Notamacropus eugenii: one gene and its partner. The protein of the gene in region 1 purifies or fractionates together with the protein of each later gene. This does not show direct contact. Links are inferred from orthologs where the notes say so. Each region holds a gene or a part of one and is shown on either strand. Other genes may lie near its edges.

Region 1 (7,745 bases):
CTCTCTCTCCCTCCCTCCCTCCCTCCCTCCCTCCCTCCCTCTCTCTCTCTCTCTCTCTCTCTCTCTCTCTCTCTTTTGTTTTTGTATTCCCAGCACCTAGCACAGTGCCTAATATGCGCCATGACAAGCTTAAAAAGTTGATTGATTAAAGAAAATAATCCTCCCTTCAGGCTAAACTTAGTAATTTCTTCTTAGCTTCTAAGTGTGTCCTATCTGAAAAAAAGTCTTGGAAGGCCCCAGTTCAAATCCTTGTTCAGTCATTCACACTCCCTGTGACTTAGGGCATGTCACTTCATCTTTGCCTCCCTCCCAGTTTTTTCACCTACAAAATGAAACAGTTTGGACTAAGTAAACTCTAAGATCCCTCCTAGGTCTAAGTCTATGATTTTTAATACATTCTAGCTCAATTCATCCTGTGGTCTTTATTGTCTTTTTCAGGGAGTGGTTAAATGAAAGGTGGTTTTGGAGGATAGTGGGAATACTCAATTACATAGGAGTTTTGCCTCAACAATCTCAAGCATTAAGGAAATAACAAATTAGCTCAACTCATATGTTTTATAATGCAATATTTATCTTTTCTATCATTAAAGACTTGGTTCAAAATAAATGCAATCCATTCCCAAACCAGAAGCTTGTGTTTGATACTAAAATTTCTAAGGTACAGATAAATGCCTCCTACTATCACTCTGTACCCTCACTTCCCCAAAACCTGGGGTTGAAACAAAGAAAAATACATATCTGTGTATATAGATACAACAGATGTGGTGGTAGAGAGACAATTGAAGCAAGATAAGGTTGTAAAATTCACCTAGCGCAGGGCTGGGCAAATATGAAATCAGTCAATATTCAATTAAATAACCACAGCTAAGGAGGTAGTACAATCTAATCATCCCAGGATAGGGTTGGACTTGGGTAGAGTACATTTTCTCCTTCTCTCAGTAATACCTCAGTTTCTTCACTTAAAAATTAAGGCAATGTCTCCCACTCAACTCAGTCTCAGAGATGTTCATAGAAGCCCTAAAAATGTTTTAAAGTTGCTTCAAGATAAAAGTTATTAGGCATGTTTTATCACACTACCTAATATGGTCTGACTTTGAAAGCTATAAGGGTATCTCTGTGTCCTGCATGTTTGAGAGAATAAAGGGCTCTACTTATGCCTATCAGGACAGAGAGTGACAAGATCAAATCTATTCTTCTCTACCAGTATTTCAATCTTTGTTCTTTGCATACCAACCACCACCCATTTTTTATGAGTAGACCTGGGTCAGCAGGCGCACTTTAACTCTGGAAGACTCGGAGGGCAACAACTTGGTAAACATTTCAAAATCCAGATCATCAGGAGTTCTGTAGTATGTTAAGCAGTCCAGATGTTAAGATGGCAGAGCTCATGTTACCTCTGATCTGATCTCCACCACACACGAGTCTGAGACACAAGTCACTACTCACAAAGAGTTTTCTTTTTCATTCTCTCTCCAACTCTGTGTTTAATGTTCCCTTTTCAAACATGGAAGCTGCCTAGAGAAAATGCTTTTTTTTTCAACCTTTTTACTACATATAGCAGAACCTACTTTAAGGAGTTAAAGTAATTGCTTTAGATTGGGGATTAAAGCAAATCAGGGGAAAATCCACAGAGCACAGACGTGCATTTTTGCATTTCTGAATAGCAGAACATGTGTTATCTCAATAAAAGAAAATATTTCTAACTGAACCCCCTTTGACAACATTGGCTGAATCTTTGATTACTGGCAAGAACTCAGGCAACAGTAACAAAGGGGAAACCCCTCTAGAGTCCTGGAATCTGCTTCAGGTTTAAGAAAAGGCATCTTTGTAAGATGCTGGTTAAGAATCACACTTTTCCTATTCTTTTCCCTAGCTCTGGAGACAACTTATGGATATTACTGATTGGCACAAGGAGATGGTCCTTCCAGTTGTTGAGATAATCAGTAAAACACCCACCAGCCACTGAAAATACCTCAGTTCCCACAAATTGCCAACGTGGTGGGAAGCACAGGAGGCTTTCTCTTCAAACCTTCCCTCAACAGGAGAGTTCTAGTAGGAGTTGGAAACACAGAGTAAACTTATTCAGTTACTTTTTTTTCTTTTAATTTCCACATTTCATGTATCCGTCTGGGGTCTTTCCATCCGGTTTTTAGAAAAGCAGATAATTTCAGGGAGAGACCACGTGCAAGTCACCGGATCAGGGTTAGCAATATCTTAACAATGCGCCTAATTAAGAAGTTAACTCGGTACAGGCTATTATAAAGCAATCAAGATTTCCATATTAAAGTACACCGTGAAGAAAACAGATAGAAAGCAGGCAAGGCAAAGCTCTAATTTTGAAGATGCTGTCAGTGCGCACCCTCCCTCCCACATTTCCCTCCAACTGCAACACACCTAAATTATTTTAAGAATCAAAGTAAAATTACACTTTATAGAACGGCACTGTGTTATTACGTATATGTATACATATATGTATATTCTAGAAACCCCCCCAAAATCAGTTTCGACTTTCCAGCTTCCAAGCAGAGGGTTCTGGACATTTTACCTGTTGCAGCATTAACTGACAAAACTTTTTAAACTCTCAAAAGAAAGCTAGGATATTCGAAAGTCTTAATTTAAAAAACAAAACAAAACAAAGTCCATTCCATTCACCATATTATTTGCAGTTCTTTACTTAAATACGAAATTTTCAAGCACTTACAAACTTTAGAAAAGTTTTACTTAAAGAGAAAGAAGATAATAGGTAAAGTTTTTTCTTTAGAACTTACTCTTTTGCTTAAAAGGAGTGATGGAGCCCGAGCAAATGATTGAACTCTTTGGAGGCTGAAATAAAATGGAAAAGCCAGTTCAGGCACTCAGACCTGTCTATTTAAAGTTTAAAAGTCTGCTGCCGTTTTGTCCTTTCCTCCCTCCTTCCCTCTAATGAAAGAAAAGTGCTGATACCTCGTAAAAGCCTTTTTGTAACTTGGAGCACAGAGAGCTTTTTAAAAGTTTTCAAGCCACTGACTAAACTTCAAGGAGGGGTTAGCATCAGAAAGGGGACGGGCGAAAGGGGAGGAGCGGCCAAAGAGGAGCCTGGAACAGCAAACTGTGGGAGGAGAGGGGGGCGGAGAGGCGAGGGTAAAGCGAACGGGTAAGAAACAGAGGAACTTGAAAAGGGTCCCGCCACTAAAAGTGGGAGCAAAAGAAAAGTACGGTTAGACTCGTTCCTCTGAACTATGAGTCTCAGCATCGTCGTTGATGGGTGTCCCTTTTAACCAGAAGCTCTAGAAAGTAAGACAATAGCTACTATATTAAAAAAAATAAAAAATACAGCCTTTTCCTAGAACACAGGCGATTGATTGTGAAATATGTCGACAGATTAAATAGACAGGTAGGTAGGTAGATACGCAACGATTAATAGATGCCAAATTTTTTTAATGGAGACAGAATTCCTTAGACTAAGTAATGGGAAAGCTAAAGGTGACGAGAGTAACTTCTTTTTATTCAACACTTTTCTTCTCTTGGATAGTGACAAATAACAGGCAAGTGGGGGACACCCTGAAGTTTCCAAAATAAACACATCTGTCTTAACTTTTCCCCCCCTCTGCCCATCCTGGATTTTTGCCATTTCCTTCAGAAGCTAACCAAAAAGCCAAGGTGTGTTTATTTAGTTAGCTTTTCGAAATTCAGCTGACTGTGAAATCCTTATCTGCTCAAGTTTCTATGAGGGAGCTGTAGTTACTATAATATAATCTCAGAACCCTTTAATGAAACAATGCCCAGATTAATGCAAGATATTTAATGAAACAGCGTTTAGCAAGAAAAAATATTAGGTTATTTTACTGAATACAGGCTTGTAGTGCTAATGTTGCCAGTTGGGTTAAGGTCAAGTTAGCTTTGGCTCTCATCCATACCCATTAGACCCTCCTTGAGACCAACTCCCTCTCTAAAAATCACAGAAGAACCTTTTGCCCAATGACTGTTGAGCGTTGCACATAATTTTCATGAGTCGCTTTAGTGTTTTCATGGCACTAACTATTCAAGACTCTGCATCAGTCTTTATAATTACCTGAGTCATACAGAGTTATTTTGTTGGATGCTCTCACTCCTGGTGTGAGCAGTTCCCTTTGTGGGCTTCTCAGCTGCCCCAGCAGGGCTCTGTGGTTGGACAGCTCCCCACAAATATGTTTGCACCATGCTACCTGGATAGGATAGGTGGGAGATAGTGCTCACGACACTCCTTGGGCCCATTTTCTCTTAGCAAGGTGAGCTCATCTAGTGCTATAGACTTTCATCTTCATTTTTGAAGTCTCCCACCAGAAAGAAATGAGACAAATATTTTGAAAGAAGTAACCTTTCTCCAAAGATGCGAATGACTTTACTTTCACTGAATAGACTCATAAATATCTTGTGGAACTTATGAAGCCTTTTCTGTTAAGACATTAGTTTATCCTCATTCTAATTGTGCTCTTCTTAAGGAGTCATACAACACTATGAAAGACAACACATTTGAGTGAGTAAAAGAACATTTTATGGTCTGCAAACACAAATTGGTTTGAAGGTAACCCAGCTACATTTAGTCAAACTGGTTAAACAATTGATCACTCTTCAGATTAACCAGTTGTTTAAATTTAAAAAGGTTCTCCATTGTTGTTGTTTTAAAACTAGTTTAAATACCACCTAACTATTCAGTTCTTCATGGAGCTCTGTCCTAGTTAAACTTTCAAAGTACAACTCCCATAATGACTAACTATATACAGTCTTTGTATCAAATCCAGTGTAACTCTTCAGGTCCTAAACATTTCAACTCCTTTACCATTAGATACAATCTGCTATATTTATCCTAATATAGCCCATCCCTTTTCCCTTGCTTCATTGAAAGTCATAATTAAACTTGTTTTCCCTGTAACTAAGAAGGAAAGCTATTATATGCATGAAACTGTAGTACAGCTTTCAATGATCGATCCTTAGAAATTCATAAACATTATTATTGTCGTTTATTTTACATTTATCTAGCCATTTTTTAAGGAAATGTTTTACTCATTTTTAGGAACAAAAGGCAAAACTGTGGGAAGATAACTGTCCCAGGATTCAAAAGACTTTAATATGGAAATGATTCATTATAAGAAGTGCCTCACTATTTCTTTTTTAACAGTTGGATTTTTCTTTATCCAGTTTGGTTAATAATCAGATTTTCTGCATTCCATTAGATAGAATTATTATGAGAATTCACCATCTCATAGATTCCAAAGTTGCATTTCAAATTAGTTGTGGCAAAGGAGATATTGTGACTAACTAGTCAGTAGCAATACCATGAAAACAAGATTGTCATCATTACAAATAGATGGATCTATATTTAAGGATCTAGTCCACTTATAAATAACTTGATACATTTTTGACCTGTTATCTTTATGAACAAAGAGAAATAGAACTCAAGTCAAACTGATGTGGATTCTTAATGAGAATTTCATAAGCTGGTGGTCTAAGTCAAAGACTAGACCCCAATTCATGGGATTCAATGAGAGAGATAGAAAGTTGAACCTGGAGTCAGGAAGACCTGAGCTCAGCTCTATGCTGCCTTTGACACTAGTTGTGTGACTATGTGCAAGTCTCTTAACTTCTTTGATCCTTAGTTTCCTTATATATAAAATGAGGGAGTAAGAACTTCCAAAACACCTATAAGTTCTAAATATAGGATCCTAAATTAGTCTGCATTATTAAATCTACCTGATTTCCTTTCTTTGCTCTGAAATGGTTTGCCAACAATCTCTTATGAGATGAGAAGTTTATAGGTATTCCTCTCTGTCCTTACTTAGAATAACTGGATGAAAATTTGTGCACTGTTGCTGATAATACCAAAAATCAGCTCCTTTCCTATAAACTGTCCTATTAGAACAACAATAACTCAACAGAAAAGATCTATCCAAGTTGAAATTATAAAATTTGGATTGTTCTCCTCTACTGATATTTTGTTTCTCTAAATTGTACCTACATAATGTAATTATTTTAAAATTTTTATAATTGATTCCATTTTTAAGAATTATTCTACTACAATTTGGATTTCTTTTCATTTGGAAAGAATTATTCTACTACAATTTGGATATTTTTTCAGTTGGAAAGATTTATGGAAACATTTAGATTAAGATTTGAACAGTTAATCCAAAATATATGTCCCTGCTTTTTTGGACTCACATGTTCTCTTAAATGACTTTTGCCCAATTGTCAAGTGACGCAATGATTCTTCAATAACAAGGTAGAATACGGGCATGAATTAAACAGGACAGATTTTTTTTTTAGTACATCCTGAATCATTCTTCAATAACAAGGTAGAATATGGGCATGAATTAAACAGAACAGATTTTTTTTTAGTACATCCTGAAAATATGAATTGAAAAGTAGAATGCTTCAATGAAGCTTGGAAAAACAAAAAGTTCATTAAATGACATAGGTTACTCTCAGAATTAACTCATGTTGTTTAATTAACAATAGTTGTTGTAGTATATTGAATGATTTCTTGCTGGTTAAATAGTGTTAACCCAGATAAGTGATCTGGAGATTAGATTAGTTGGGCAGAAGAAATGAACAGTGCCGTTATTTAGGGAAATAGCTAAGCAAACTGTGGTATGTGAATGCAATTGAATATTACTGCACCTTAATAAATGAATATGAAGAGTTCGAAGAAACCTGAAAAAAAAACCTTAAATAAACTGATACAGAGTAAAGTAGGCAGAACATATATGTGTACATATATGTGTATATGACAATATAACAATGTAAATGGAAAGAACACAATTAGCTCAAGTAAATCTTAATACTATGTAATTTTAACAACCAAGTTTGGACAGGAGAAAAGAAAATGCATCTCGCTCTCCCTCTCTCTTTCAAAATATGCAACATTGAATATGCTACTATCAGATTGGGTTGATACGTTGTTAGTTTTACTGACCTGTTTTTCTTTCTCCCACTAGGACAAGGGATAGACAATTTGTTGTTAGTGTAGGAGGATGGAACACATACAAAAACAAAGCTGATGTATAAACAAAAGCTACCAAATAAATATGTTTTTGAAGGAAAAAGAATTGGACAGGGCCAAAACATTCAGGAGGTTTTTTCCAGAGTTAACCTTCCTCAGAAAGAAGCAAGGAAACAGGAGTCATGAGTTCCTGCCCTAAGTAAGGCAGTCTTTCTGATCTGCTGGGGTCAATCTTTCAGCTTTAAAAAATTCTGTTACTTGGTTTTAATACTTAGCTTGAAAAATATACAGCAAATTACTGTAGAAGAGCAAATTACAGTTTCAGAATGAAATATACCAATACACATTGTTGTGAGAAGTAGTGTCTTAGCTTGGGGACTGGTTCCACTGATTTTCCCTCTTTGGTTTATACCATATTGATAAGCTAATCTTCACTGATAGAGTCAGATTTCTGCATTGCCTTATTTTTAAATCCAATGCAGACAAATAATATGAAAAGAGTGGGGGAAAATAAGCCAGAAGATCAAATAATGGTACTTCGGTACAGTGATGTCTCCTCTAACATTAAAATACACTCCAAGCAAATTTTCCAAGCTCAATTTAGTGGAAAGAATACAAGTCTGGCAAAGCCAGCTTGAAAAGTAATGACACAATTTAATCTGAGAAAGTCCCCTGTAACCAAAGGTGAGGTGGATGTTAGCTACCCCTACTTCATTCTCCAATTAAAGGCATTCCCATCACTTCCCATCTGCTGCAACTCTTTTCAACAGTTATGAACCTGGGAGATGAA
Region 2 (7,258 bases), about 180 Mb from region 1:
GAGAAATGAAAATGAAAAGAACTCAGGTTTTACCCTACACCCAGCACACAGGTAAAGATGACTACATGGTAAAGGGTAAATGTTAGCTGATATGAGGGAAGATGAGCACATTCATACTGTTGGTAGAGCTATGAACCGATCTAAGTGTTCTAGAAAACAATTTGGAACCGGGCTGAACTACACGCCCACACACTCACCCCCAGTAATACCAGTATTGGGCCTCCTTATTTCGCACCTGAGTACTACTCTGGGACATCTGTGACTTCTCCACCAGGGTCAAAGAAGCTCATTATTGGGAAAATCTCACCATCCTGAAAGGTCTTTTCAGCCCTAGGACTTCACTTCTTTACTACCCTCTGCCCTTCTGATTGAAAGGTGGTGCCATGAACTTTCAAAACTCTATTTAAGCAGGGAGCTGGGCTCAGAACATCTCATTTCTCACCTGATCTCACTCCTCTGGAACTTTTCTGACTTCTCCACCATGCCCCCAAGTCAGGTACTACCCCTCCCCCCTTTACCTGCCTTTTGTATATAATCTTCCCACATTAGATTGGAAGCTCCTAGAGGGCAGGGACTTTCCCTTTTAACACAGGGCCAGGCATATAGTAGGTGCTTAGTAAACGTTTATTGACTTAGCGACTGATTTATTGACATATCCTAAGGATGTCAAGGACAAAGGGAAAGGGTCCACATACACAAAAATATTTATAACAATACTTTCTGAGATAGCAAGAAACTGGAAATAAAGAAGCTAGGAGTCCATCTTTCATTTTACAGACAAGGAAACTAAGGCCTGGTGAGGTTAAGAGATTTGTCCAAGGTCAAAGAGGTTGCAAGTGTTGGGCAGGGTTTGAGCCAATGTTCTGACTCTAAACCCAAGGCTCTTTTCAATTGTACCATGAATGCCATGGAATCTTATTGTGCCATAAGAAATGACAAATAAGAAGAGTTCAGGGAAACTTGGAAAGACTTGAATGAACTGATGCAGAGTAAAATGAGCAGAACTAGAAATTGATTATGATCATTTACTGAAAGATCATACTAAAGTAAAGGAAAACAATGAAAGCCATCAGAACATTAGGCTGCTAGGGACTACAGTGGGCAAGAGCACTCCCAGTGCTGAAGATCAAATGAGGTAAAATGGCTTATAAAACTTAAAGTGCTGTATAAATGCTAGCCATTGTTACTTGATCCAGGCAGTGACCAATCTCAACGTCAGAAAACTGAAAATGGCCAAAACCACTTTCCTCTGCTTGACAGAACAATGAAGGACTACAAATGCAGAATGAGGTACCTGGCTGAAACAGTCAATATGATGGTTTGTTTTGCTTTACTACAGTTTTTCTTTCCTACAAGAGAAGAGTACTATTTTGTAGAATAGAGGAAGACAGAATGACTGAAAAGTCACATGGCATTCAAAGAAAAGTCATCAATAAAATTTTTTCCAAAAGAATTATTTCTTTAAGAAAATGGAAAACTAATAAAGGACTGAACTTCTCAGCAAGGATTTTTAAAAGGGTAAGACACTAGCCTCCATTTTTTCTAGGGAAGTAACATTATACTAGGAGGATGTTAAGTTAAATTTTATACACTTAAAAAGCCCAAACTCGCAATCAAGACTATAGCATCTCCTTCTCAGACCTCTAAACGATTTCCATTGGGTTAGGATGAGTAAGAAAGCAGTAGCCTTTCAAGGACCATTCAAAGGGCAGCTCCTATTGGTTATCCCAAACTTACTTCTGCGGGGTCTTGATCACCAAATGGACAGTGAGCCCATCCTTGATCCCATGTTGATTTAACGTGTCTCCATCTTTGAGAATCTTGCCAGCGAAGATCAGGACAAGCTGGTCTTGCTGGGCTTTAAACCTCCGGGAGATCTCCTCTTTGAACTGTGATATCAGGTCAAAGGTCCAGGGTCAGTGTGGCCTGCCTCACAGAAAGACTGTCCAACAGCTCAGACTCTTCTTCAGAATCCTTGCTCCAATTTCCAGTCATCAGAAATCTTTCCTCCAATCTAGCACCTCTGTGTCCTGCTGCATACTCTACTGAGATGAAGACCACAGGGGCTCTAGTCCTCCCTTGATCACAGGATTTGGAGCTGAGAGGGACCTTACAGACCACTTAGGCCAACCCCAAGAGATGAGCTAACTGAGGGGGTGGACCGGCTTATCCAAAGTAAACTGAGGAGTTTAAATTCTAACCAAGTCAGTTTCTCTGACTCTTTTGTCCATAACACAGTATCACCCTCTCCCAAAAAAAAATCAACTCCTTGCTACTATCTAACCTTTCTTTCCTCACTTGGATCTCCCCCTTCAGTTTTCTCTTACTCTCCACCTTTAAACTTGGGGGTGCCGTTATCTTTAAACTCATTCTAGGCTAAGGCAGTAAAGGAGGGGATCAGGACCAAGGCAGCCTACAACCAGCACTCTGTGGGGGCAAGCAGGGTCTTAAAGGAAAAGGGCATTTCCCTGAATGGGGCATTTGGGGCATGGGGGGCTTTCTCCTCTCATCCCTTAGGGCCAGCTTCTGGCCCTTCCGAGCTCCAGGACTGGGACTGGGGGTACGCCGCCTCCTCACTTTCTAGCCTGCCCGGACCCTCGTGGGTCAGACAGCCCCCTGACCCCACTCCTGCAACCTCTCTTCGCCCCCCACCTCCCGTCTGCTTCCAGGGATGGACGAGCCTCCCCTTTCCCTCCCCTCCCCACCATGTGCCAGAGGCCCCCTCCTTCCTCTCCCCTCCCCCCGGCCGTCCCTCCCCGCCCCCTCCGTCCCTCCCTGCACGCCCGCGCCCGGCCCGGCCCGGCCCCCAGCGCGCCGCTCCTCCCGCCTCCGCGGCCCGCCGAACGGCCAGCGGCGTCCATACCTCCTTCACCGAGGCGCGATCGCAGATCACGATCTCCTCCTTGTCCTTGGGGGTCTTGACGGTGACCCGGATCGGGGGCCCTGGCCCCGGCTCGGCACCGGTTCCGGACGCGGCCCCTGTCCCGGTCCCGGTCCCGGCCCCGGCCCCGGCTCCGGCCCCGTTCGGCTCCGCCATGCCGCCGCCGCCGTCCGCCCGCCCGCCAGCCCGGCCCCGGCTCCTCCTCCCCGCCCGGCCCGGCCCGGCCACGGCGTCCCCAGCCCTCCCCCCCCACCCCAGCCTTCTCCTGCCCGCCCTCCGTCCCTCCCCCCCCCCTGCCGCCGCCGCCGCCTCCGCCGCCGCCGCAGCCGCGCCCGCCCCGCCCCGCGAGTCTCCGCTTCTCTTCCTTCTCTAGCTCTCGGCGGTTACAGCGCCCCCAGCGGACTGGGGGAGTCACGGCAGCACCGGGGACAATGTGTCTAGGAGGGAGAAAGTTCACTGGACGGGACGGTCATTGACTTTAAAGGGTCCTGATGGTCACTGGATTGGAAAGGTCTCTTGTCTCACAGGACAAAAAGGAATCAAGAAGACCTGGGTTCGAATTCAGCCTCAGATGTTTACTGTGTAAATGGGTGGATGAAAAAAATTATTAAGCATTTAATCTATGCACAACCCTGTATCTGGCACCCAGTAGGTGCTGAATATTTATTGACTGACGTACTGTTATGTCCTGGGGAAGAAGAGAAGTAAGACAGTCCCTGATCTACAGGAGACCGGGTTCTAATGGGGAGACAACACACAAGAAAGGTTTCAGCCCTGAGAAATAAGAAAATGGTCAGTGCCACAGCTACTCCTCTTCTGTTTCTTGACCTTATAAACTTCTCTCCTTCTGATGACATTTAGCTTTCCTCTGAGGGTCATTTCTCCTCCCCTAGTTAGGAGTCTTCCTTCCCCTTCAGAATCAAATAGCCTCGATCTTTTGTAATCCTGTGTAAAGTGTCTCCCAGTCACTAGAACCTAGAAGATTTTGTGCTTGATAGGAATAAGGCTGTGATTTCTTTGGTGCAGGGAACTCCTGGGTGGGGACATTCCTTTTACCAGTGCAGGCCAGCACCTTCTCTGCAATTTATCCCCTTAGTTGTCTGCAGAAAGGAGGTTAAATGACTTGCTCAGATTTACCCAGTCATTGTGTGGCAGGGGCAGAACTTGAACCTGGGTATTTTTAGCTTAATAAATGTTTGCTGGTTGATTGGAATCTAACATCTGATGCTTTATGCTAAATTCCCTCTTCTTCTAACCTCCTCTCTTAAATAAAAACAAAAGTAGTATGCTGGAGTGAAAAGAGCACTAGACAGGGAAACAACAGCTCAAGTAGGAGCTAGCTGTGTGACCTTGGGCAAGTCACGACTTTTTATCCCCATTTATATAAAATGGAGATTAATAATACTTAACCTTCCTACCCCACATGATTATTAAGGGCAATTTAGGTTTAGCACAGTGCCTGCTACATGCTTAATAAATGCTTGTTGATTTATATGAAAGTACCTTGCAAAGCGCAAAGATTTGCGCACACACACAAAAATTAAATAAATGACTCATTACGTGCGGACCACACTACTCCAGGCTCCCGGGACGGCTTAAATGTCCTCGGTGAGTCTTTACTCCTCGCATGTTGGACTACGGCCCCCAAGATGCCTCTCGGGCTGAGAAAGAACTACAATTTCCAGGGTGCCCTACCACGGAGGCCTGCAATGATCATTACCGGTGGAGACTACAATTCCCAGTGAGCCCCGGGGGAACCGGCCGGGGCTACGGGAAGCGTCCGACCTAGTGCGAGCCAGGGGAAGACCCTAGGGATCCAGGACGTAGACCGGGTTGCGGGGACTCGGAGCGGTCGTCATGCTTCGCCCCAAGGCCCTGACCCAGGTGCTAAGTCAAGCCAACACCGGAGGCGTCCAGAGCACACTGTAAGTGTTGGGGGTAGGGGGTGCCCTGGGGAGAAGGGGCAGGATGCAGTGCATCCTAGCTGGGATTGGAACAAGCCTGTAGTCCGGCCCGGGAGTGGGAGCTCTGCATACCCCAGGAAGGGAGGAAGAGACCCCAGGAACACGGAGGTGTAGGAAAAGGGGCACGCTATCAATCAATCCATCGGTCCGTCAGCCAGCATTTGTTAAGGCGTCCCTACTGGATGGCAGCCCCCGTGCAGGGGTTTGGGGGGTTCATGGACAAAAATGAAACAAGCTTTGCTTTCCTGGAATTTGAGCTATTAGGGAAATGAAACCTGGATGAGGAATGGGTGGCGGGACTGAGGGAAGAAGAAAGATTTGGGCAGGGGGGAAGGGAAGGAAGGGGGAAGAAGAGGGCAGTGGTTTTCAGAAAGTGTGTGTGTGTCGCGGGGGGAGGCTGATAGCTTTTAGCTTGGGGCCCCAACCCCTGGGGAAAGCGAAATCTAGGAGAGGGAACTCAGGCTTCTCACCCCGGAACACATTCATAGGACTCCAGCCAGTCATTTTAACTATATCCCCCCTCCCCAGGTTGCTGAATAATGAGGGCTCCCTGCTGGCCTACTCTGGTTATGGGGACACCGATGCTAGGGTCACTGCTGCCATCGCCAGTAACATCTGGGCTGCCTACGACCGGAATGGGAACCAAGCCTTTAACGAAGACAATCTCAAATTCATCCTTATGGACTGCATGGTATGAAGGGGAGTGGAGCTCCTGGAGTGGAGGGATTTAAACTAGATTCCCTTAGTGGATGACTCTTTGGGGTCAATGATTTAGGGCTGGAAGGGAACACAGAGAGCCTATTATCCAATCCCCTTCTGTTTTATGGATGAAAAAACTGAGAGCTAAGTGATATGCCCAGGTCACAAACATAGCAAAAGTGCAGATTAGACTATGTTAATAATGGAATGAGTGCTGGATTTAGATTTAGAGAACCTGGGTTTAAGTACTGTCTATATTATTTAAATGTCTGTTATTCTCAGGCAAGTCACAACCTCTCAGGGCCTCGGTTTCCTTATCTGTAAAATGGGAAGTTTGGACTCATTGACCTTCAAGGCAGCTTGCACTTTGAAATTCAATTCAATTTGACAATCACTAAGCCTCAGACCCTGTGTTAAGAACTAGGGGTAACAAGGACAAAACAATCCCTATTCTCCAAGAGTTTGCAATCTTCTGGATCTTTGGTCCTCCGACTTCAAATTCAGTGTTGTTTCCATTGTACTCTGATTACTTTAATCAGTGGATAGACTTGGAGCAGATGCTGGATGATTGGAGGGAGGAGGAGACAGAAACTCCCAAGTGCATCATGGGGGTGGGACCCCAACAACAATTTTAGGGTACAGTCTCAAGTAGACCTGAAAGCAAGGATCTGAACCTGGTACTTTAATTTTTTACCTCATACAAAGAAACCATTTCATGTGCCTGAGTCTTTGCCCTGACAGCTTATAGTTTCTCTGAGAATTACATTAAACTGAGAACAATACATGAGGCTATATGATAGTATGTAAGCCTAAAAAAGATCATAGAATCCCAAATTTAGAGCTGGAAGACTCCTCAGAGGTTTTTTATTCCAACTCCCTAAGAAAATTGGGGGCCAAGGAGTTTACCTAAAATCACACAAATATTACATTATTCCAAAAAATGGATTCTAGGAACCATAATGGTGGGGACAGCTGGGGCCAATTAGCAGTCATATATCACATTTTCTACCCCTGCAGGAGGGCCGGGTAGCAATCACTCGGGTGGCAAACCTGTTGCTGTGTATGTACGCCAAAGAGACTGTGGGCTTTGGAATGCTGAAGGCCAAGGTGATCCCTTATCCCATCTCCTTTTTTAAAAAATGTCTCATGTTCTTCATGCCCTCATCTTGCTAGTTCGGAGTCCTCTTCCCTATTCCCAAGCTTTCTCTAGAATAGGTAGAAATGAGGAGCTCAGACATCTCAGTCTTATTTCCTGGGAAAAAGTGTATGAGGTTTAAAAGCTGATGCTGATGGGGAGGGAGGGAGTGGAACTGGGAGTCTGGATGTCCCAGTCCTTGACTCCATCAGGTATTCTTTTCATGGCTAAATTGAACTAACCTTCTTACAGGCCCAGGCCCTGGTTCAGTACCTGGAGGATCCCCTCACTCAAGTGGCAGCGTCATAGCAATCGGGGGATAATCGACTTGAGAGTGGGGATGAGGGTGGAGGGCTCATCTTTTGATGGGGGCAGGGTCCCCAGTAAACCTTTCCTGAGGTCTGAAGGGAAGTTTTCCAATCTCATTGAATAAACTATTTAACACCTGTCTTATGTCTTAGATTCTTTCTTAATGGTCACGTTTAGTGGGGGAGGTACTAGAGGATTAGATTTGTTCCCTTTGGCCCCATCGGGAAGTGAATGAAAGTTTCAGAGGCAGATTTAGGCTTGCATAGGTCA

Evidence for each region. Proteins that work in one complex are often made in the same cells at the same time.
Region 2: the proteins of GJA1 (region 1) and UBQLN4 purify together in Homo sapiens (affinity purification with western blotting; 3 studies listed by BioGRID). This does not show direct contact. The link is inferred for Notamacropus eugenii from reciprocal best matches to the Homo sapiens genes GJA1 and UBQLN4.

The regions. Positions count from the first base shown.
Region 1 is NC_092873.1:203,953,995-203,961,739, reverse strand, and holds the start of GJA1 (gap junction alpha-1 protein), read right to left. Parts: upstream 3,088-7,745; 5' UTR 2,944-3,087; exon of another isoform or gene 2,769-2,943; intron 2,068-2,768; exon of another isoform or gene 1,874-2,067; intron 1-1,873. UniProt on the Homo sapiens protein: Gap junction protein that acts as a regulator of bladder capacity. A gap junction consists of a cluster of closely packed pairs of transmembrane channels, the connexons, through which materials of low MW diffuse from one cell to a neighboring cell.
Region 2 is NC_092873.1:380,138,042-380,145,299, forward strand, and holds the start of UBQLN4 (ubiquilin-4), read right to left. Parts: upstream 3,056-7,258; 5' UTR 3,038-3,055; coding exon 2,864-3,037; intron 1,890-2,863; coding exon 1,738-1,889; intron 1-1,737. Other genes in the region: ragulator complex protein LAMTOR2, read left to right, coding at 4,739-4,806, 5,374-5,536, 6,562-6,651, 6,932-6,988. UniProt on the Homo sapiens protein: Regulator of protein degradation that mediates the proteasomal targeting of misfolded, mislocalized or accumulated proteins.